4 linked regions of the Drosophila melanogaster genome follow. The protein of the gene in region 1 binds, or shares a complex with, the protein of each later gene. Each region holds a gene or a part of one and is shown in the gene's direction. Other genes may lie near its edges. The genes, in order: eIF3e, eIF3j, eIF3f1 and eIF3d2.

What was found.
Region 2: eIF3e (region 1) and eIF3j share a complex: the UniProt entries of both Drosophila melanogaster proteins name them as parts of the eukaryotic translation initiation factor 3 (eIF-3) complex.
Region 3: eIF3e (region 1) and eIF3f1 share a complex: the UniProt entries of both Drosophila melanogaster proteins name them as parts of the eukaryotic translation initiation factor 3 (eIF-3) complex.
Region 4: eIF3e (region 1) and eIF3d2 share a complex: the UniProt entries of both Drosophila melanogaster proteins name them as parts of the eukaryotic translation initiation factor 3 (eIF-3) complex.

The regions. Positions count from the first base shown.
Region 1 is NT_037436.4:16,783,299-16,788,619, reverse strand, and holds eIF3e (eukaryotic translation initiation factor 3 subunit e), read left to right. Parts: upstream 1-1,678; 5' UTR 1,679-1,786; coding exon 1,787-1,876; intron 1,877-1,970; coding exon 1,971-2,363; intron 2,364-2,449; coding exon 2,450-3,274; 3' UTR 3,275-3,378; downstream 3,379-5,321. Other genes in the region: CG9674 (uncharacterized protein), read left to right, coding at 77-210; CG9706 (uncharacterized protein), read right to left, coding at 3,569-3,742, 3,908-5,311. UniProt on the Drosophila melanogaster protein: Component of the eukaryotic translation initiation factor 3 (eIF-3) complex, which is involved in protein synthesis of a specialized repertoire of mRNAs and, together with other initiation factors, stimulates binding of mRNA and methionyl-tRNAi to the 40S ribosome.
Region 2 is NT_033778.4:9,966,503-9,972,215, forward strand, and holds eIF3j (eukaryotic translation initiation factor 3 subunit j), read left to right. Parts: upstream 1-2,426; 5' UTR 2,427-2,717; coding exon 2,718-2,733; intron 2,734-2,958; coding exon 2,959-3,050; intron 3,051-3,238; coding exon 3,239-3,352; intron 3,353-3,416; coding exon 3,417-3,705; intron 3,706-3,769; coding exon 3,770-3,906; intron 3,907-3,971; coding exon 3,972-4,034; 3' UTR 4,035-4,395; downstream 4,396-5,713. Other genes in the region: CG12133 (uncharacterized protein), read left to right, coding at 763-1,310, 1,375-1,849; CG12134 (uncharacterized protein), read left to right, coding at 4,892-4,919, 4,975-5,713. UniProt on the Drosophila melanogaster protein: Component of the eukaryotic translation initiation factor 3 (eIF-3) complex, which is involved in protein synthesis of a specialized repertoire of mRNAs and, together with other initiation factors, stimulates binding of mRNA and methionyl-tRNAi to the 40S ribosome.
Region 3 is NT_033777.3:4,710,939-4,715,811, reverse strand, and holds eIF3f1 (eukaryotic translation initiation factor 3 subunit f1), read left to right. Parts: upstream 1-1,629; 5' UTR 1,630-1,726; coding exon 1,727-2,569; 3' UTR 2,570-2,930; downstream 2,931-4,873. Other genes in the region: smash (smallish), read right to left, coding at 4,727-4,873. UniProt on the Drosophila melanogaster protein: Component of the eukaryotic translation initiation factor 3 (eIF-3) complex, which is involved in protein synthesis of a specialized repertoire of mRNAs and, together with other initiation factors, stimulates binding of mRNA and methionyl-tRNAi to the 40S ribosome.
Region 4 is NT_033777.3:12,190,760-12,196,770, reverse strand, and holds eIF3d2 (eukaryotic translation initiation factor 3 subunit d2), read left to right. Parts: upstream 1-1,759; 5' UTR 1,760-1,818; coding exon 1,819-2,811; intron 2,812-2,888; coding exon 2,889-3,551; 3' UTR 3,552-4,068; downstream 4,069-6,011. Other genes in the region: CG43450 (uncharacterized protein), read right to left, coding at 1,284-1,430. UniProt on the Drosophila melanogaster protein: mRNA cap-binding component of the eukaryotic translation initiation factor 3 (eIF-3) complex, which is involved in protein synthesis of a specialized repertoire of mRNAs and, together with other initiation factors, stimulates binding of mRNA and methionyl-tRNAi to the 40S ribosome.

The DNA.
Region 1 (5,321 bases):
TTAATCACATCAATCATTGAATGATTTCTGTATCTTTGCATAACAAAAATGTTAATTTATCTTCTGTCCTTTGCAGATTGCCGGCGTGGCCAGTCGCTGGTCGTCTGGGCCATTACCGAGGGTCGCCAGGCCGCACGACAGGTCGATTCCTATCTGACCGGCCGTCCCAGTGGGCTTCCAGGACCTGGTGGCGTCATCGCGACATCCTAAAGAGGATCCACAGAGGCAGCCAGAGCAGCTAATATCAAGTTTTGTGTGCGTGCATCGTCCTTAGCCTATAGTGCGAAATTCTTTAACGATTTGTGATTTTTATTTTCGCGATTTTAGTTTAGTTTACACTAAAAAGACTTGAGTTTTTTACACACCAAACCAAAACGAAACACGTTTCATTTAGTTTTATTTTGATCGCAAAGCTGGCTGGGAATTGTTAGTGGTTCGTCGAGATGCCCTCCATATGATGATGATGATGATGATGATGATGCGGCAGGAGTCAATTAAGAGTGCAAACTGAAATTCTGATTGAAGCCAATCAATATGTATATCTTAACGGAAATCGAATATCCAACAAAAAATCTAAGGACAATAACTAGAAACTTACCGTTATCGTTAAAATGAAAATTAATTGAACATTAAATATTTAGAAAATGCATTTTTTCAATGTTGTTTTAGCTTGAGTTGCCTAATCTATGCAAACGAAATATATGAAGTGAAAATTGATATGCTGATCTCCACCATCCTATATACAATCCATAAATCGTATATACAGAAAGAGAAATGTATTAAACTCGGCCAATATCGAAACGCATTTTTTAGATGTTGTTTTTGTGTTTTGAACTGCATTCGACCGTTGACCGCAAATGTACCTAAGTGGCTATTGTTAAAACAAATCTGCTCTTTGGCAGTTGAATGTGCGAATACAAAGAATTACACAATTTATACAAAACATATTTAACCCAAATGTATACCCTTATACAGACATCTCTATATAAATATATTTATGTGCAAGTATTTGATGAAATAAATATTCAAATTATTAAAAAGCATTTCTCCGATGAGTTGATATTTGTGTTTTGAATTTGGCATGGGAAATATATTTATTAATAGCTTGAAAAGAGAGGCAACGTCTTTTTGAAATTAAAAACCTTTGTTATATGTATACCTTGTAATTTAAAATTATTGGTATTTTACGTAAAGCGTATAACTTTAAAGGAATGAGAAACCATTGTAATGTAGAAAATATTTAATAATATTTCTTTAAATTCATTGTATGGTAACTTATGTAGTTACCGCTTTATTTAATTACTAAGTACAATATCTTGTTGTTTTATGCCGTAAGCTTGTTACGAGCGGAGCTGAAGTTCCAGTGTGTCCAGTCTGACGATAAGAAGACAGAAGATATCGTCCTCCAGGAAAGGTCTTGGCGTTAGTACCTCTTTTCGCCGTGATGCCAGACCGGGTTTCAGTCTGGGCGCCACAATTGAAATAATAATTTTTTATTGCTATAATAGCCATGCTAAGATAATAGAAATTTTGAAAATTGAGTATTTTTTGAAAGTTGTTTCAATGACTTAATTTTATTTTAAATAAATGCGCCACTTTGAAAGCTTGAAAAAAATACGGCTTCAGGGTCATGGTATTTAATGTCGTGGAAATACCACACTCTGGTAACTCTGAGCGGGCGTCACTCTTTTCGTCTCTGGGCACACTGTCGGCCCTCGCACGCGTATTTTTCTGCCGATTTTGCGTGTAAATTTAATTGTGAAAACATAGTAAAACAGCTGCAATCATGGCCAATTTCGATCTGACACGCATCAATTGCCAGTTTTTGGACAGGCATTTGACCTTCCCGCTGCTGGAGTTCTTGTGCGGCAAGGAGGTTAGAAAAGCGACCAGGCGGTGCTCCGCTGGCGGTTGCCGAGTCACCAGTACATAACTATGGGAAATCTTCATATGTGTGACTTTCGTTGCAGATCTACAACCAGCAGGAGCTGCTGGAGTACATTTTGGAGACGGTGAACAAGACGAACATGATCGATTACACGATGGACACCCGCAAGCGTCTCAATCTCAGCCAGGAGATGCCCGAGGAGCTCGTGCAGCGCAAGGCGGAGGTCCTGGCCACGCTTAAGCAGCTGCAGAACGAGGTGGCACCCATCATGAAGGCCACCGACATTCTTAAGAACGGTGAGAGCATGAAGGACTCGAAGACCTTCGTCAACGCCCTTCAGAAGGACTACAATTTTAAGGTGGAGCACCTGGAGAGCGCCTACAAGCTGGCCAAGTACCTCTACGAGTGCGGCAACTATCAGGAGTCCACCTCTTACCTGTACTTCTGCCTCATCGTCATGTCGCCCAACGACAAGGTGCGTATGGAGCTAAATTAACATGAAAAGCGGCAAAAACCACTAAAACAAGAATATTAATTGATATTGTCTCCCAAATTTTGCAGAACTACCTTAATGTGCTGTGGGGCAAGCTGGCCGCCGAGATTCTGACCCTCAACTGGAACACTGCTCTGGAGGATCTGACGCGTTTGCGCGACTACATTGACAACGCCAACTTCAGCACCATCCAGGCCCTGCAGCAACGCACCTGGCTGATCCACTGGTCGGTCCTGGTCTTCTTCAATCACCCCAAGGGACGCGATCTCATTATTGAGATGTTCCTGTACAAGCCCCTGTATTTGAACGCCATTCAGACAATGTGTCCGCACATCATGCGTTACTTGGCCACCGCCGTAGTCATCAACCGCACCCGCCGCAATGCTCTAAAGGATTTGATCAAGGTGATCCAACAGGAGTCGTACACGTACCGCGATCCCATCACCGAGTTTCTGGAGTGTCTGTACGTGAACTTTGATTTCGAGGGAGCGCGTCTGAAGCTGCACGAGTGCCAGACGGTGATCCTCAACGACTTCTTCATCGTGGCCTGCCTGAATGAGTTCGTGGAGGATGCCCGCTTGATGATCTTCGAGACATTCTGCCGCATCCACCAGTGCATCACCATCAGCATGCTGGCCGATAAGCTGAACATGAAGCCCAACGAGGCTGAGTGCTGGATCGTCAACCTTATCCGCAATGCCCGTCTGAATGCCAAGATCGATTCGAAACTGGGTCATGTGGTGATGGGCACCCAGCCCTTGAGTCCCTATCAGCAGCTGGTGGAGAAGATCGACTCGCTGTCCATGCGGTCGGAGCATTTGGCAGGTTTGATTGAGCGCAAGAGCAAGCAGAAGCAGAATCAGGAGTCGGCCGACTCCTGGAAGTACTACTAGTTGCTGACTTTTTATCCACAATTAAGTTAAGACTCTTTGTACCCTTTAAAAACCGATGATTGCGCGCAGTCGAGCGAATAAATTAACATCTTACTCATTCGCTCAATTCAACATTTGATTTTATTTCCTTCGGAATCAAAATTAGTTATACAAAAAACAATACCAAGGCGGGAATTTGTAATTTCGCTAGCCTACAGAATGCAAACGTCTGCTAATCCTAGAATTAGTTGTTTGTACCTACAAGTGGGTGCTGGATCTTTATGACGATCTGGCCCCGGATCACACTATTGATTGCTACCGCGATTTCTGCTTGACCACCAACCAGGATCTGACGGGCAGGTCCTGCAAGTAAACGATCCATTTGCGCACCAGCAGCAGCCACACTATGCCGTACAGAACGCAAATGCCCGACTCCAAGTAGTACCCATCGAAGGTTATCTCGCACTTGCCAGCCGACGCTTCACAGCTCTGCGGGAGAAAATTAAGAAAAATATTTGTTTAGTTACTTTTATCTCATAACTGGCAAAGTTTATCTTTTCCTGGTTTGGGGTAAAACTTTCACCATACATATGTATCCATATACAATAATAATAATAATCTTGTATGCTGTAGAATCTCTCTCTGAGCACTCACCTGTTGCTCCTCCTTGCCCTGGCAGGTATTTTCCGCATTATTGGAGCACTGCTTCCAGGTGAGCACGTCCACCAACCACAACACCACTGTGTTGGGCCAATTACCGCCCAGATTGCACAATGTGTTCAAAAATGTCATGTAAGTGCCACCGACGGCTGGATCGGAGATCTTGGCGAAAAAGGCCATGGCGGCCACAAACATGGAGTACAGGAATACTTGGTAGATGGCATAACTGGTGATCAGCAGGACGTAGTAATAAGCAGGCACGGCTCCTCCACGGACAATATAGGGTGTGATGTAGGCCAAGCCAGTGGCCACTGTTGCCATGATGATGCGATAGGGAATGGCCTTCAGATAGACGTCCATCGGACGTGGTCCGTTCGTATATCGACCGACCGCCAGCGGCAGAATGAGCTGCAGAGGAATTAGGGGAATGGCGAGTAAAGCCAGCTTATCCTTCGGTACACCAGCGTCAATGAGTTTTAAGCTGGTCACTGCATCAGAGGCTGCGAACGTGACCTTCACGGTGAGCAGAATTACAGCCAGAATTTGGACGGGACGCATGCACACCATGTCCCACAATATCTTGTAGCTCTCATGGATGTTCAACTCGTGCTCCTCCGTGTAGCGAGCGTCCATATGCGCGTCTTCGATGTCGTTCTCCTTCTTGAAAATTGCCACCAAAGTAGTGGCTACCACAAATGTAATGCCCCAGAACCAAAGGAAACGGGGCAATGTGATCATGCCATCCTCGAGTGGCACGTCTCTTATGTAGGTGTTGCAGAAATCCTTGGACTCCAGGGCAATGAACACCACATAGCCCAAGAAGTAGCCAGCTGTTTGGCCCACGCTATTGCAGGTGGATGCGTATCCAACATTGCATCGCTTCAGCATGGTCAAGGCCCAGCCATCCACGGCGATGTCCTGAGTGGCAGCCAGGAAGTTAAGCAGGAAGAAGAGCAGCGTCAGGAGCGGCACATTGGGATCGACACCGTTCCCGCCCAGCCAGCGATCCACGTGGAGGGAGAGGAGTAACATAAAGGCTCCCAGAAGGTATTGCACTGGGACTAGCCACGATTTCCGGCGTCCAAATCGCCGGATGTACAGGGAATCCACAATTGGAGCCCACAGCAGCTTTAAGCTGAATGGCCAGTAGGCGAATGAAAACTCCGCCTGTTGTTTGTAGCTAGCTCCTCTATTTTGCAGCAACATTGGTATGGCTGCTATGAGCCCGATGGGAATGCCCTGTAGAACGTACAGGAACAGCAGTATGGCTATATTCCTCCGGTCTCCACGAATATCTGGTTTCTGGTGCTCCGCCACCTTTTCCGACTTTGGTGGCTCGTCGATGAGCAACTCCTGGTCGGCATTGCTGCCCGTTGGCTTTCTCCTTATGGCGGACATGCTGATCAAA
Region 2 (5,713 bases), on another chromosome or scaffold:
TATAGCTCTGATCAATCTATTACTACAGTTTTGATATGTTTAAAAGTAGTAGGATTTGAACGTTTCCTGGTATCCAGAAGACTTTTAGGATGTGAGCGTTTTAGGAGTTTAGGGCGTAACAGGGGCGTGGCACGGTTTTAAAGAAAACTTACATGCTTCCTTACTCTTAATGTTTCCGACATCTCGACATTCATACGGACGGACAGGCAGGCCATTATAATTAACCCAAGGAAAGTTGTGGATTGGACATCGTGCCATGAATCATTTTAGCAATCGAGATAAGCTTGAACTTTTAAGACCAACTGGCTTTTGAATTCAGTATTCGGTTAGGCTTTGACATTTCAAGATGGTCTCGATCCATTTTTATTTGGCACTTTTGCTTCAAGCGATTTCCTTGGCGAATTCTTTCCAATTTGGTAAATAGTGGCAACTACAATACAATATACATATCTACAATTTCATCGGATCAGTGTCAGTGTTAAATATATACTTTGGCAGCTCACGGATCTATTTTTGGTCTCAACAATAATTAATACCTTATAATTACAAAATTGGAACTTCATTGGGTTGATTTCGCTACACAAAACTATAGTCTTACCAGGAAAATGCAATCTTTAATAGGATTTCATACAGTGTTACAAATGCTATTTTCGGCCATTTTGAGCTCCATTAATTGGTCAATTTTTGTTACCCCCCTTAGCAAAATTCAATTTTTGCCGACTAGACGAGATTTGCATCCCACTGAGCAAATGTGAACCTCTTATGAAGATTCTACATCCCCGGAACATGACAAACGATCAAAAATCACAGTACCGGAACAAACTATGCAACATTAATCCTTTTGCCCACGAGCTAGTGCACATGGTTTTTACCTGCTGCCCGATGGTTGCAGGGGATAAACTACCAGATAGCAGGGTCTGCGGACAGAGTCCTCCTTCGTCATATATCGTAGGCGGCATGGAGGCACAGTCCAACCAGTTTCCCTGGACAGTCCTGCTGGGTTACGAAGCCTACACAGCAAAGCAGCGACCGTCTCCCATGTGTGCGGGCTCCTTGATCGCCAGTCGCTATGTGCTGACGGCAGCCCATTGTTTGAATGTGAATGACTTCTACGTGGCACGTGTGCGCCTGGGCGAGCATGACACCGAGAACGATCCCGACTACACCTGGCTGCCGAATGGAGCCAAGATATGGGCTCCAGCGCACGTGGACATCGATGTGGATCTGAGGGTTCCGCACGAGCAGTACTACACGAGAAATGGAAGACACTACAACGACATTGCTCTGTTGCGTCTGAAGAGTCGGGTGAAGTAAGTAGTGTGCTCTTTGGGGTTCCCTCTTTTCACATTTTCCCATCGATGTCCTCTCTTTCAGATACACTCTTCAGATCAGACCCATTTGCATTTGGCCTGGCATTGAATTGTCAACTTCCTCCTTCAAAAACTTCCCTTTTCAAATTGCCGGCTGGGGCGATTCGGGTCTGCAGCAAAAAAGCACCGTACTTCGCCAAGGCACCATCAGTGGAATGAGTCCGGATGAATGCTTGAATCGGTATCCAACACTGCTCGTCGATAAGGACATCCAGATATGTGCCATGGGATGGGATGGCACCGACACCGGACTGGGAGATTCCGGTAGCCCGCTGATGGCTTCGGTGGGCAGGGGTGCTGATCAATTTTATTACCTAGCCGGAATAACGTCCTACGGAGGGGGACCCTCCAGTTACGGATATGGGCCAGCGGTTTACACGAAAACTTCCTCATATTATGAGTGGATAAAGAAGAAAATCAATGATATCGCTGAAGATGAACGTAAAATGAAATACAAATCTGTAAGAATACCAATTTAATTTAACGTTATTAAAATGATACTTTTTATGCATGCAGAAATGGATGTTGTTCTTTGTTAACAAAATCGCCAAAACAGTCAAGTAAAGAAAGTACACAATTATCTTTAAAACCGTTCTTGGGACAAAAAGCCACATTTAACATGATTATGTTAAAAACAGATGTAACCATTGAGAATTGCAGACGTTTGACATAATTCACATTTTGCAAACAAATCCAGATCTTAACTAGACCAATTCTAACTCCAATAAGGATGACTTAGCCTCTCAATCGAAAGAATTCCTCGACTATAAGATAGCCTTAGTCAGCAATTGGGGAGTTCGAGGTATATAACGACACAGCTAGTTCTTCTTATCAAGAACATGCTTATGTATGTATATACTCTCTACTATATATAATTTATCGAGTCGAATCAATTTTCCTTATAACTCTAAGAGTAAGTTTCTTAGAACACCACGAAGAGGGAGATTTATCACGAATTTTTTTTGAAAAAAACTTGTAGGGTAACTCAAATCTTTAAAAACTTAAAGATTTCTTAACAAAGTTGACAAATTTGTGTTTGAAAATAAAATAAGCAATCTTACAATCAAGAAAGGAAAAAAATGAAAAATGAAATATTGTAGGGTAACAAATTTCAAATTGTCGATAACTTGATATCACCTTGGCCGCACTACGAATATTCGATGGCAACAGACTATCGGCGACGTTACCCACGCATTTTCCGCTAGTCGCGCCTTGGGCACACTACAGATCCACAGAAATTTGGTTTTGGAAAATTCCTGAAATCGCTGCCGAGGCTGGAAACAAGTCGATCCCAGCACCATCCCATCCAGAAGCACAAATCCCGCAAGCAAATAGGCAACCATTAACATGGCCGACGATTGGGGTAAGTTGCGATTGGCCTGGGCGGAAGAGTGGGCGGTGCGTCATCTGCACGGCGGACAATAAACGTGGTCTCCGTCGTTGTTGTTGTTGTTGCTGCTGCTATTGCTGTTGTTGTTGGAGTGCCGTGCAACCAGCCTTGATGAGTATTTTTAGCCACTGTGCCAACTAACCGTTTGAAATCATTGTTATTCACCATGTTCCTGGAACTCATTCTGTTACCTGGCAGAATCCGCAGCAGACAGCGAGGTGGTCATCCGGCCGACTGCCGCCGCCAGCGTAAACAAGTGGGAGGGCGAGGACGAGGATGAGGACATCAAGGTGCGACTAACGAAATCCAAGTGAGATCGAAAGCAGTGCCGCATTCAAACCAACTATCCAAGTGCCCAACAACAAATGCCATGGGCCAAAACTTGTTTTTCTGCACTCGGTTTCACTTTCGTTTCGCTGTACACGTGTGCACTTTTGCAGCAGACTGATCGAATCATTTGTTTATTTGCTGCCCACAGGACAGCTGGGAGGATGAGGAGGAAAAAAAGGACGAGGAGAAGCCTACGAAAACAGAAGCACCAGCCAAACCGAAGCCAAATAAGGCGCTAAAAGCCAAACTGGAACAGCAGGCGGTGAGATAAGGCTCAAAAGCATTTCTCAATCATTGGCTATATTGTTATCATCTGTTATTAACAGCTCCTAGAGGAGGAAGCGGAGGCAAAACGTTTGGCCAACCTATCGCCTGCAGAAAAGTTGGCTGAGAAGCTGCGATTGCAAAAAATCCAGGAGGCCTCTGATCTCAAGCATGCCCAGGAAGCGTTCGGTGTGACGAGTACGTGCGGAGGTCTTGACGCCTTCAACCCCGAGACCAAGGAGGAGTTCAAGGAATTTGGCGCAACGCTCAGCTGGAAGGTGGGCCAATTCCGCGAGTCGGAGCACTTCCCCCAATTTGTTGAGGATCTGGTGCGCAGCCTATGCGTGAATCGTGAGTGATTAGCTGGCTGACAATTAAAGACGGCTTATCTGATTTGATTTCGCACCTTATCTAGTGAGCGCTGCTGACATCAAAAAGGTCAAGATGAACGTGGAAATCTTGCACTCGGAAAAGCTGAAGCTGGAAAAGGCCAATGCTAAAAAGCCCGCTGGAAAGGGCAAGGGCAAGGTCACTCTCCGCACCGAAAACGACGTGAGTGTTTCAATCGCCGCCGTTCGAGATCAACGAATGAACTTATTTAATCCGCTCTTTTGCAGGACATTGACGGTTACCAAAAGTACGGAAATGACTTCACCGAAGACTATGACGACTTCATGTGAATAGGATCTATAAATGTAGCCCGCATATATCTAATTATTGAATGCATAGTTGCTTGTTGAAGAGTTCTTCTTGTTAGAGATGCTGCGCAGGAATAAGAGTCCTTTGTTAAATATAAAATGGCAGAACCTATATAAATATGTAAATATATATTTATATAACCATACATAACACAAAACGAGTTACATAGTCAAGTCAGGCAATCAAGAAACCTCAACGAACACGCAAATCCAACTCCAAACCGAAAGAATATTTAGGCAACTGACTTATGGCGACAGCACATGTATGTAGGTCGTATTCGGAACGGCTTCTTGTGAAATTCATTTTTGTATAAAGAATAAAACTACAGATCGATATTAAACGAAAACAAAGAAATCTTGCTTATTGTGCTGTATGGGTGGGTGTGTGGTACGGGTGTACAAGTATGATGGTGGAACTGTTGATGATTGACAATTGAGTTAATTATAGGTAGCCGCTTTTATCTTACCATTACCATGAACTTTTCAAAGGAACCATAATTTTTAATTTATTTAAAACGATCACAATGCGCGCCGTAATTTGAAGGCGCTTCACTGTGAACGGCTTTGTTTGCATAGCCAAGAAGAAGCATCGCAAGGTGTGGTGTGTGACTTGGCTTCAAAATCATATTATTGAAGTAGTTAAAAATAAATTCAGTTGTCGAATAAGTGGATTTCGTCATAAAAGAAAGAGTGCTGACGCATTTGAAGTGCACTCTTATCCCTTTCAACTCGTCTATTAAGTATTCAATGTGTCTTCAGCCCAAGTTAGCTTAAATCTAGCTGAATAGTCAGCACTGTCGTCATTTAATGCACGTGCGGCAAATTAAAAATAGACAAGAATGAGCGACTTTAACAAATATTGCGAAGGTTTTATTAGCTATAAGCCTGCCAAGACGGCCTGATTAATCCGTACATCCTGCAGAAGCTGCGAGGGAAGCGCTTCCGGACTCGGAAGACGAGGAAGACATCGGCGATGAGGACACTTGTAGCGCACAGGATCTTGCCGCCGAATTCCAGCTGAAGTACAAGCCGCAGGACGAAGTCAGTGTGTCCTTGCAGCGTGAATATGTTCTTAGCCTGGCCGCAGATCAAGGATTCTCACGGATGGCCGCCGGACTGTCCAATTCAGCAGTGCATATCTATAATTTGGATTCGGGCGCCGGGAAACTGGAGAACTTTAGCTATCTGCCGCCCACAGATTCGCCGCAGAGCGTAAGCATCTGTGGCGTTCGTTTCCTCGACGAAGGACCACACAACATCCTGGTCGGCACCACCGATGGCTACGTGCGCCTCTACGATCTGCGGCTAAGAGGCGAACAGGCGCGGTTCAAGTACACGCAGCACCCTAATGTGCCTCCGGTGCCCAAATCGCTTTCGTGCTTCGACAGAAACGCCAACGGTCGGATTATTTGCTGCGGCACCGAACAGTTTCACAGCAACGCGTTCCTCGTGTTCTTCGATGTTCGGGAGCGCCAGCAAATGGGCGTCTACTTCGAAAGCCATGAGGACGATATCACCTCGTTGCGGTTCCATGCCCAGAATCCAGACCTTCTGGCCACGGGCAGTGTGGACGGGCTAGTAAACGTGTTCGATGTGAAGGAGCCGGACGAGGATGAAGCACTGCTTAACACCTTCAACACGGAGAGCAGTGTGGCCCGGTT
Region 3 (4,873 bases), on another chromosome or scaffold:
TTTGAGACTGTCAAGAAACTCTTTACACAAAACACTAAATCGATGTTTAATCCTAAATTTTTAAATTATTTTATTAAAATTTTAAAAGTTTTGGTATGTAGTATGTTCCCCATTGGCTTTAGCTACAAGTTGAAGCCCTTTTTTCATGGAATGGACAAGTTTTTGCAGGTCATATTCAAACGGGATCTTTTCACACTCTTCGACTATTACAGTCATAAGCTGTTGTCGTGTTTTAGGTCCCTTTTTGCCACCTTCTTCTTTAAGTAGGTCCACAAATTTTAAATGGGGTTCAGATCAGGACTCTGAGGGGGCGTATCGATCACTTTACCACAGTTATAAGGGCGCCAGGTGCGTACATTGCACTCTTTATGTTTCTGATCATGTCCTCTTAAAATATAAAATTTGGCTTGTTGTTGCTAACTAGACCAAATTTTTCTGCACCGGCCTTCAAATTTGTTTTTTAAGATTCCTAGATATTGCACGGCATTTATTGTGCTCTAAATTAAGGCTAGTTTTCCCACTCCATGGCTGGTGATACAGCCACAAACCATCAGTGACATTTTTCCAAATTTTATCGTTGGAATGATATTTTGTTTTTCTAGCGCACTCAGCGGTTTGCGCCATACTCTGCTTGGCCCGTCGTTATAAAAGAGCATAATTTTTGTTTCGTCACCAAATATGACGTCATCCCAGTACTCTTCTGGATGATCCACCTTGTTCACAGCGAATTAATGACGCTTTTCCATATTGGCATCTGATAGCAAAGGATTTTTCCTCGCAACTCTTGAAGAGTATCTATGGCGTAGGATGACTTGGCGCACAGTTTCGTGTGACACAGTTAGGTGACACTCTTGCCTGATATCCAGAGCAAGTGATCTGACCGGGGGTTCGCAATCTCTATTCGCATAATAAAGCGGTCTACACGCTTTTTAATTTTAATTTTCCGCCCACCACCACTCTTAGGTTCAAGCCTGTCCTCTTTTTCCGAGCCTTTTAAAAAATAGTAGACGGTCTTACGGGATACAGAAAACATTTATACTTATTCTGGAAAAGATTTTCCCAACTGGTGGTTATAGTTTATTAATTGGGTAACTTCAAAGTTTATCTCTTTCCAGGCATTTTATTAAATTTAATAATTCGCTTTAAGCACGTTTGATCAGCAAAATTTCACAAGCAAGATTGAGTAGTAGAATGTAACCGACATTTTGTTATTGATCCGTTATGTTAAGAATGAGCAGCGAGCAATGAAATTCACGGAAAGCGTTCCGTTATTGAGTGGGCATCATTTGTGTGGCTGTTGTTGTTGTTGTATAGTTTCTGGAAACGAAGTAAGGATGAAATAATTGAGTGAAGGTGAGGAATAGAAGAAAAGCATCGCGAAGGCGACGCTTGAGTAAATTAGTCTGCTTAGAACGACAGAAGAAACAACACGCAGGCGACTTGATGTGCTGGACAATATGGACGCTGAAGTAAATGAAAAGTCGCGCTTGGCATCTCCGACATATTCAAATTTGAATAGTATTTGATTAACTAACGCTAGCCACCGGTTTTACATCGATAAAACGATAGGCCACGCACGACCGCACCGATAGCTCCAAAAGCCATCAACCCCCACCCGCACTATCGATAGGCCCTTTTCTTGCATCCCTAAAACATACGCGCAGCGTGGCTGAATAGAAATTATTGCGGAAATTTTCCTTGCAAATCTTGGCCACCGAAAATTACCATGTCGGCTCTCAATCTGACCGTGCGCGTGCACCCGGTGGTGCTTTTCCAGGTGGTGGACGCCTTCGAGCGGCGGAACGCGGACTCGCACCGCGTCATCGGCACCCTGCTCGGCTCTGTGGACAAAGGTGTGGTGGAGGTTACCAACTGTTTCTGTGTGCCGCACAAGGAGCACGATGACCAGGTGGAGGCAGAGCTGAGCTACGCCCTGGACATGTACGACCTCAACCGCAAGGTGAACTCCAACGAGAGCGTGGTAGGCTGGTGGGCCACCGGCAACGACGTTACCAACCACAGCTCGGTGATCCACGAGTATTACGCCCGCGAATGCAACAACCCGGTTCACCTCACCGTGGACACTTCGCTGCAGGGCGGACGTATGGGTCTGCGTGCTTATGTCTGCATTCAACTAGGAGTTCCCGGCGGCAAGAGCGGCTGCATGTTCACGCCCATTCCTGTCGAGCTGACCAGCTACGAGCCGGAGACATTTGGGCTCAAGCTGCTTCAGAAGACCGTAGGCGTTTCGCCCGCTCACCGTCCCAAGACCGTTCCGCCAATGCTGGACCTGGCCCAAATCTCGGAGGCCTCCACGAAGCTGCAGTCCCTGCTGGATCTTATTCTCAAGTACGTTGACGACGTGATCGCTCACAAGGTAACCCCCGACAACGCCGTCGGACGCCAGCTGCTAGACCTTATCCACTCCGTGCCGCACATGACCCACGAGCAGTTCACTCAGATGTTCAACGCCAACGTACGCAACCTTCTGCTGGTCATCACGCTCTCCCAGCTCATCAAAACCCAGCTGCAGCTTAACGAAAAGCTCACCTTCCTGCCCACCGCCTAGAACGACGGCGTTTGTTGAAGTGGTAATATCTACTAAGGGTGGCATTGTAAACTGATTGTGTTTTTTATCAATGGGGGTCTACGTAATAAAGTGCTCTGATCGCCAAAAAAAAAAACCAAAACTTGTATCGATTACTCTGGTCAGAATGACATTCCATACTAAAGAAAATATATATGGGATTATCTTTTTTATAACTCAATTGAAGAATCAGCATGAATCCTGTGACACCTACACTAAACGACCATGTGGCGTTTGTAGGAGCATTCGAATCTACTGAAGACTCTTAAACACAACAGTATTCATCACCAGGAACAAAATAAATGCATGTGCAACTGAAAATTTAGCACCCAACTGCTAAAACAAAATGTTGTGTTTCAGTCTTTGGTGAGCTTCACTATTCTATAGGGTTTCAGGGAGTCGCATCGGTGCTGGGTTTATTGTAAGAATAGTAATATTTATATTCTTTAATATCAAACTTTGATGATCGTACCTTCGGCACACAAAAGTTATAATATCAAATTTTGTGACGAAATATGACAACACATTCTATTAAAAACTAGTTTCTTACATTTTATAACCAGCACCTCGTTGCATCATATGCGTTACTTAACTTTCAATTGTTTGGTAGCACCAGGATAAACTTGAGCTACGCCTACACTTTTCTGTGCAATCTGCATCCTTAATCTTCTAGCATTTATAGTTCATGAGATCTTGACGTTCATGCGGACAAACATGGCCAGATCGACTGCGCTGATTCTTGATCCTGGTGAAGAATAAAAGGTACTCTAAAGAGCATAAAAAAACACACTTTTCATATGAAAGAAGGACACAAAGGGGCTCCAAGATTTCCCCGTATGCCTTAATATATAAATTAATTAAAAAAAAAACTTTTCATATGAAAGTTTGTGTGGCCAATTTAAATATATTCGTAATGCATACTTTTGGGCGAAATTTAAATCTCAGAATGCGGAAGTTTTTTTTTTAAATCAATAACATTAGTTACAGTGTTACATTAGCAGATACTGGTTCCTCCCAAAAATTTATGAACTCAGTTGTAAGTTTTTATTAAGCATGTCGAATTGACATCCACTTTGTTAGCATATTTGTCGGAAATGCGACAGGACAGGTAAGTTATACATTTTAGAACAATTTAATTAACAATGATAAGTTCAGAAACGTAAAATGATTGTTTCATCATTGAAGGACTGTATCTCCTAGTCATTGAAGTATTACCACCAACATACCATACACCTTTTAACTTTAAGCGTTCTGCAGATCAAAATATGAAATAGTTCTTCATTGAAATAGTTTATTAAAAAACTAAACTATATCTTCTTTGATGTATTTATACAGAAAAATTATTCATATACCGATCATGTTTAAAAATTAATCATACAATCCAAGATGTGTATATAATATACAAATTTTCAACTTTATGCGAAATTACAATAAATAAAAATAAGGGATATAAGAAATGAAATCTTTCGCGATATATGCTCACCTCATGCAAGTTTAAGGGTATGTATATAATAATTATGTTAGTGAGTTGCGTGTGGATGGGTGTTTGTATATAGTTTTTTTTAGGTACATTGGATGCGTCGTTAGGTATTTTAAGTGGGCTGTAGCGGGTACAAAAAGTTAGAAACTAACTAATTTAAAAGCGAATTTTCGGATAGAAATAGTAGATTGTGTAGATGTGTAGAGTAGAGGTGTAAATATAAATTCAAAACAATTTCAAAATTTTAACACTTCGTTTAAAGTTAATCCTTTTTTTGGTTTTTTTTTTAAGTTTCAACACACATTACTTTGTTACAATGTTAGAGAGCTTGGCATTTAAACATGTAAAATGTATAGAGTTTGATTTATAACATGTAGAATGCGTTGTATAAAACTTTTAAATCCGAGTTAAAACATTACATAATTTCGTAGGGAAGCATATTAAAGCGATTAACACTAATCTGAAACGTTTTGGATTTGACTTTGTTCTCAACATATGTAGATATATGTATTGTATATATGTGAACGTACGAATTATCATCTCTATTTAATATCTATGTATTACTAGTACAACAACAACAATCAATGTTGCAAAAGCAACAGAGCAACAACCCCAGTTCTATTCAATAATCCACTTCCGTTTCCATGGCGAGGGCTCAGTTAGACGCAGCTGAACTTAATGCCGTCATCGCTGGAGTAGCAGTTTTGGCAATGCAGCTTGTGGTTTCGCACCCGGACATCGGTTCCATTGAGGCCATCTCCCAGCTGGACGTGGCAGACGCAACACTTGAAGCAGTTGATGTGGTA
Region 4 (6,011 bases), on another chromosome or scaffold:
TGCTTTTGTTCGCTGGGTAAGTACTTACTTATGTGCCAGGGCATTATTCTTGGCTGTGTTCCTTTCACCAAGCCGCTACCGCTTTTTCCTACAAGACCGGCAGTGGCAGAAGAAAAGCTTCAGCGGCAGGAGCGATTGCAGATGAGCTGGAGATGAGAGGGTAAATCCGGAGGTTGGAAAGCGGAAGGCGGATGGGGATGGAGAAACCGCAGCGGTGACGTGGCAATGCAGCTGCATAATGTGGCATGCGGTTTGCATTAAAAATGATATTGCAACACGAGCCGCACATCTGCAGCTGTGTGCAGTTAGGCGCCGCCTGCAGTCACTGACAGCCGCATGGCAATTATAATCCACACACACATACACTCACTCAGACGCACACTCATCCACGGCTTATGGCTACACTGAAATCAATTCAATGGTAAAATAGGAATTATTTCAGTCAAAATAAGTTCCCATTGTTATTGCTCCACAGAACCCATTATTATATTCTTGGTATGCATTCTTGGTCTTCTATTCTTACATTTGACATTATCTCTTCATATTCTCGCAGTGTATCAACAGAGAAGTGCGAGGGAATCTGGAGCCGGGCCATGTAAGCAGCAGCTGCCAGTGACATACACATCAACATGACACCCTGTCGCTTGACAAAGCTTAGCTCAGGATCTGGGTGCTGGAAGAGGGGCGGAGGCACCGCACTCCCACTGTCATCCCGCTCGCACCCATATCATTTTCCACACATTCAGGCACATTCACACGCTCGACATGTTGCTTTTTGGGTATGAGCCGGAGTGCAGGATGTCCGCTTCCTTTTTCGCCGCCTCACACGTTGTTATCTAACAAGCTTTTTATGTGATTACCTTTTGCCTTCTGTTAGTTTTACTATAATTTGGCCTTTACGCTTAACGAGATTGTTGTAAGGTGCTCCCAGCCAAGAATAAGGAAACCGAACCGGAACACAGTGAGGACTGAGCCAAGTTGACCAGATCCAGCACACAGGACACTCGTCCCATTGTAGTGCACTCCGCTGTTGTTCCTTTGCTTTCCTGATACTTGGGTCAGAACAATGGTGCTGGAGTTGGAGTCATATGAATGGAGTCATGTCGATGTGAGCTTAGATGCGTCGTCAAGTGATAATCCCGTCACAGTACCCCGCTTCCTGTACCATTTCCACAGCTCAACAAACATTTATTTGTGCGCTTAGTGAGGGTTTTTTATAAAAGATAATAAGAAACAAGAATTTGTCGGCTGGAAGGGGATCCCCGCGCCCATCCTGGATCAGCTCACCATGCGGAGGATGAGAATAATCGTGGCCAATGAGAGCAGCACGACGTTGACGGAGAACCGAAAGACGAACAGGCAATTACACATTTCTTCATTGTGGTTGCGGTGGTGTTTAATTGGGGGCAGGGCGTCCTCCTAAGATTCATTCTCCAAACGTCTTACTTCTCACTTTGTGTAGTTTATAGGGTTTCGGTGTGACTAGAAATACAAATAAGACTGAGCTTTTATTGTGAGGAATTGGTATCTTTTGATTTCTCACAATAGGCTTCAATCTACTTACTATAGGCTTTTGAAGAAATCTTTTTAGTTGTCTATCAAAAATTATTTAAAGATTGGATATTCGGTTATTTCCTTAATGGATAAAACCGCCTTTTTCATATTATAACATTATCCAAACGTAGGGCTTGGAAAATTTTCCCAAGCTGTCAAGCCGGCCATACGAAATCAGCTCAGTGTAATTTGTACCTCGACAAAACCGGATCACATAAATGTAAATACTTGCTCTTGGTTATTTAAACATCTTTCGGCGTGATTATGTCCAACTACGCACCCTTTATCAAGCCCTATGTGGAGTACAACGAGCACGGCTGGGGTCCTTGCGAGGTACCCGAATTGGATGTGCCCTACCAGCCGTTCTGCAAAAGTGATCGCCTGGGCAAGATCTGCGACTGGACTGCGATGGTGCCCGAGAAGAAGTTCCCCAGTAAATACGCCTCGACCTTTGGCAACAACAGTCAGTACGCATACTTCTACGAGGACGATGACTCCACCTTCCATTTGGTGGACACCACTGGATCGAAGGCCACCAAGCCCTATCAGCGGGGACGCTATAGACCCAATATGCGCAACAATGTGAGGAGCAGGGGTCGCACGGGGCGTGGCACTCCGAATATAGCAAGTCTCGGGGGATCCACGGCTGGAGGCGCAACTGCCAGTACCACCAAGTACGGAAAGGGTCGCAATACACGCAACACGCAGAATATGGGTCGCAGATTCGGTCGCAATGCTCCCACCAGAATCCGCGAGAGCTCAGTGATGGTGCAATCGGATTGGGTTTCGATCGAGGAGATTGATTTTCCACGCCTTCTCAAGCTGGCACTTCCCAATATTAAAGATGGTAAGGACATTGCCACCTGCGGATGGCTGGAATTTTATGATAAGTTATACGATCGAGTCAACTTACGCAATGAAAAACCATTGCAAAAGATGGATCGTGTTGTGCACACCGTGACGACCACGGATGATCCGGTTATTCGTCGTCTTTCGAGGACCATGGGCAATGTCTTTGCCACCGACGAAATCTTGTCCACCATAATGTGCTGCACACGCTCCAATTACTCTTGGGATGTGGTAGTCGAGAAATTGGGCACTAAGGTGTTCTTAGATAAGAGATATAATGATCAATTTGATTTGCTGACTGTCAACGAGACTTCAGTAGAACCTCCGATGGATGAGGAGGGTTCCATCAATTCGGCACATAGCTTGGCAATGGAGGCCACTCTAATTAATCACAACTTTAGCCAGCAGGTAGGTTTACAGTAGGTTTCAATTTATGTTATTTGTTATTGTACGTTTTTAAATCTTATGTTATTTATTTTTAAAAGGTTCTTCGCATTGGCGACCAAGAGCCACGTTTCATGTTTGAGGAGCCCAATCCGTTCGAGGAGCCAGGCGTGGATCTTGCCTCCATTGGCTATCGCTACCGTCAGTGGGATCTGGGCAACGATGTGGTGCTGATTGCTCGCTGCAAGCACAATGGGGTTATCCAAGGACCCAATGGGGACGTGCAGTTCCTCTCGATCAAGGCGCTGAATGAATGGGACTCCAAGGTGACCAACAGTGTGGAGTGGCGCCAGAAGTTGGACACCCAGCGCGGTGCAGTCTTGGCCTCCGAGTTGCGCAACAATGCTTGTAAGCTAGCTCGATGGACCGTTGAGGCTGTGCTGGCTGGTTCCGATCAACTGAAGTTAGGCTATGTGTCCAGGATGAATCCGCGTGATCACCTGCGTCACGTGATCCTTGGCACACAGCAATTCAAGCCGCAGGAGTTCGCCACCCAAATCAACCTGAACATGGACAATGCCTGGGGAGTATTGCGTTGCCTAATTGACCTTGTGATGAGGCAACCGGATGGAAAGTATCTGATCATGAAGGATCCCAACAAGCCGATGATCCGTCTGTATGACGTTCCGGAAAACGCCTTCGACTCCGACGGCGATGAGGAGGAGGAGTCCAGCGATCCCTTGAGTAACTCCAACGATAACTAACGCCCTCACGAATTTATTCAACTAATAGTTCTCCGAACAAGGGGATCCGTCGACGGACGAGACAAGCCGACACATGCTGACAGATGCGCAGTGAACACAAATGCAATTTAAATTGAGTTTTTGACCAAACACAACATATGAACGGAGCCATCACTTGACATGTCAGTGAACAACGGACCGGGTGACCGGGTGCAGTCACAGTTATTTTGAGGATAACATGGCCACATCAATCACTGCGGTTCCAAGAAATACAAAATGAAACCCGGCTAAATAAATATGCATTGTGCAGAACATCCCCCGCCATTACCGACTGACAATCACAATAATTGCGGGGGAGTGGAACTGGGGCTGAAATGGGTGAAGGGCTGTTTGGGTGACAAACCTCAGGATCAATAAATCACCGAACACGGCATCAATCAATGCAAATTCTGATGCTGCTGTGGTGCTTGGCGTGCGACAATTTAAGCAAAATGTTTTCGTATTCAACAGCATTTAATTAAATTCATATATGTGCTCGAATTTCATATGCATCCTGCCTTTTTTGTTATTTGGCAATTCAATTTGGGCAGTCAGTGAGCACAAAAGTGCAGAAATTATTCCCCAACGGAAATGCAAATCGCTCAACTAAATTACCAAAATGTTTTGCGCATTTTTGTTTTTGTTTCTCCGTCCGCCAATTTCTTTTTGTTCAGCGCCAAATTGAATTTAGACCTATTCAATTTGCATGGATAGGCTTGCACTCCCTTTCTTCCCCAGACAGGATGAGCAAATGATGATGCCTGGGTGTGAAATAAGTGTGTGAAAATATTTAGGGAATTTACGCAAATGAAAATTGAAACCGATTAATTTTAATTCCCTGCCTGCGGCAAATTTGATTGATAAAGTCGGTCCATTATGTGGCAGTGCACAGATTCACAATGCAGCACATACATATGTATATGTGTGCACATCAAGTATACGCACAGTTGGCCGGAAAGGCACTTGATCTTGCCAGTAAGCAGCAGTGAAACACCAAAGTGTTATTCAATTAAAACATTTTGTTTGCTAAATCAACATGTGTGCCTGTGTGTGTGCCTGCAGGACCAACTTACGAAATGACTATTGCGGACTGGTTTTTTAAAGCGTTTGCCGCAGAAAAGTTGGCTCCGGCTGGTTAGCTGCTCGAGTGGCTTCAGCTACCATGTACCACCAACTACGGAGTACAGACTACCGACTACCAGCTGGCAACTACCGGCTTTAGCTACCAGCTTTAGCCTTAGCTGTAGCTGCAGTTGTAGCTTCGGCTTCTGGCCAGGACTGGCGTGGCATTTCAAGGTCTGCGCTTGGCTAACCACGCCGTTGAAAGGCGTTTAACAAACTGGCAGGCCGGGTTGGCCAGGGCACTTGCCAGCGGCAACAACTCCTAGCCCAACTCAAGTGGGGCCTTAACGCAAAACTTTGTACATTTTATCGCATATGCAGGGCTGCGGGCCATTCCGGGGTAACGGAGAACACAGACCGGAGAGCCCAGAACACAGGGTGTGGGTTAGTGGGCTGAGGTATGGGTTTAGATGGCCAAGGCATTTGCATATGCAACCACAAACACCGCCCGAGTGAAAAGTTAAGCGTTGAATGAGGGCGACAAATTGCAAATTAAACTCTTTTGCATTTTCCCAGCATCACATCACATGAGGAATAGTTGTAAATAAAACTGCCACACCCGCGTCAACTTTTTCAGCTCCTGCGACCTCCAACTAAATTCAATTTCATTTCAATTTGCCTCACTCGCTTTTTTCGCTGAAATGGGGTTATGGTAGCTGGAGCCTCGGAAGCCGTCTGAGCCGCATTAGGAAACCAAATGCGACTTTAAGTTGCCACCAAAGCATTTGGCCCCAGGCCCTCTAGCCGTTTAAGCAACGGATTTGCCATCTTTGGACTTTGGTTGGGTTCACCAGGATCAGGGGGCTCCGGGTGCCAGGGGTCACGCATTTCGGGGGGCGGACTGAAGAGTTTAGGAATGTTTGTAAGCCAAAAGTTTTGTGTTCTTTTGGCCAGCTCGGATTTCGCCTCCGCCTTTTGGCATATTTAATTTGCCGACTTGTGCCAGTTTTTCTTTTCTTGTCTTTCCTTCTCGAAAGATCCTGTCAATTTTGTGACATTTGCTTTGGGCTCCATTCACCGTTAACTTTTCAAATGCAGCTCATTTAAATATCATTTGTCTGGGTAAAAGTTTGCCACGAGAAGTCAGTTAATCGAGGATGAAGCCCACGGCTATTAATATAGGTATGGATTGAAGTGAAAAGGGAGACCCAAAGCAATCAAATATATCGTAAAATCAAAATATTACTTATATATCAAATCGGAGATTCTTTAATATTCCCTTCTTTTTACAGGACGAACCTGATAGCCCTGCTACTCTTTTCCAGATGAAAATTCGTAAAACTTTCTCACTCAAGTTACCCCAATATAATATATTTAAAT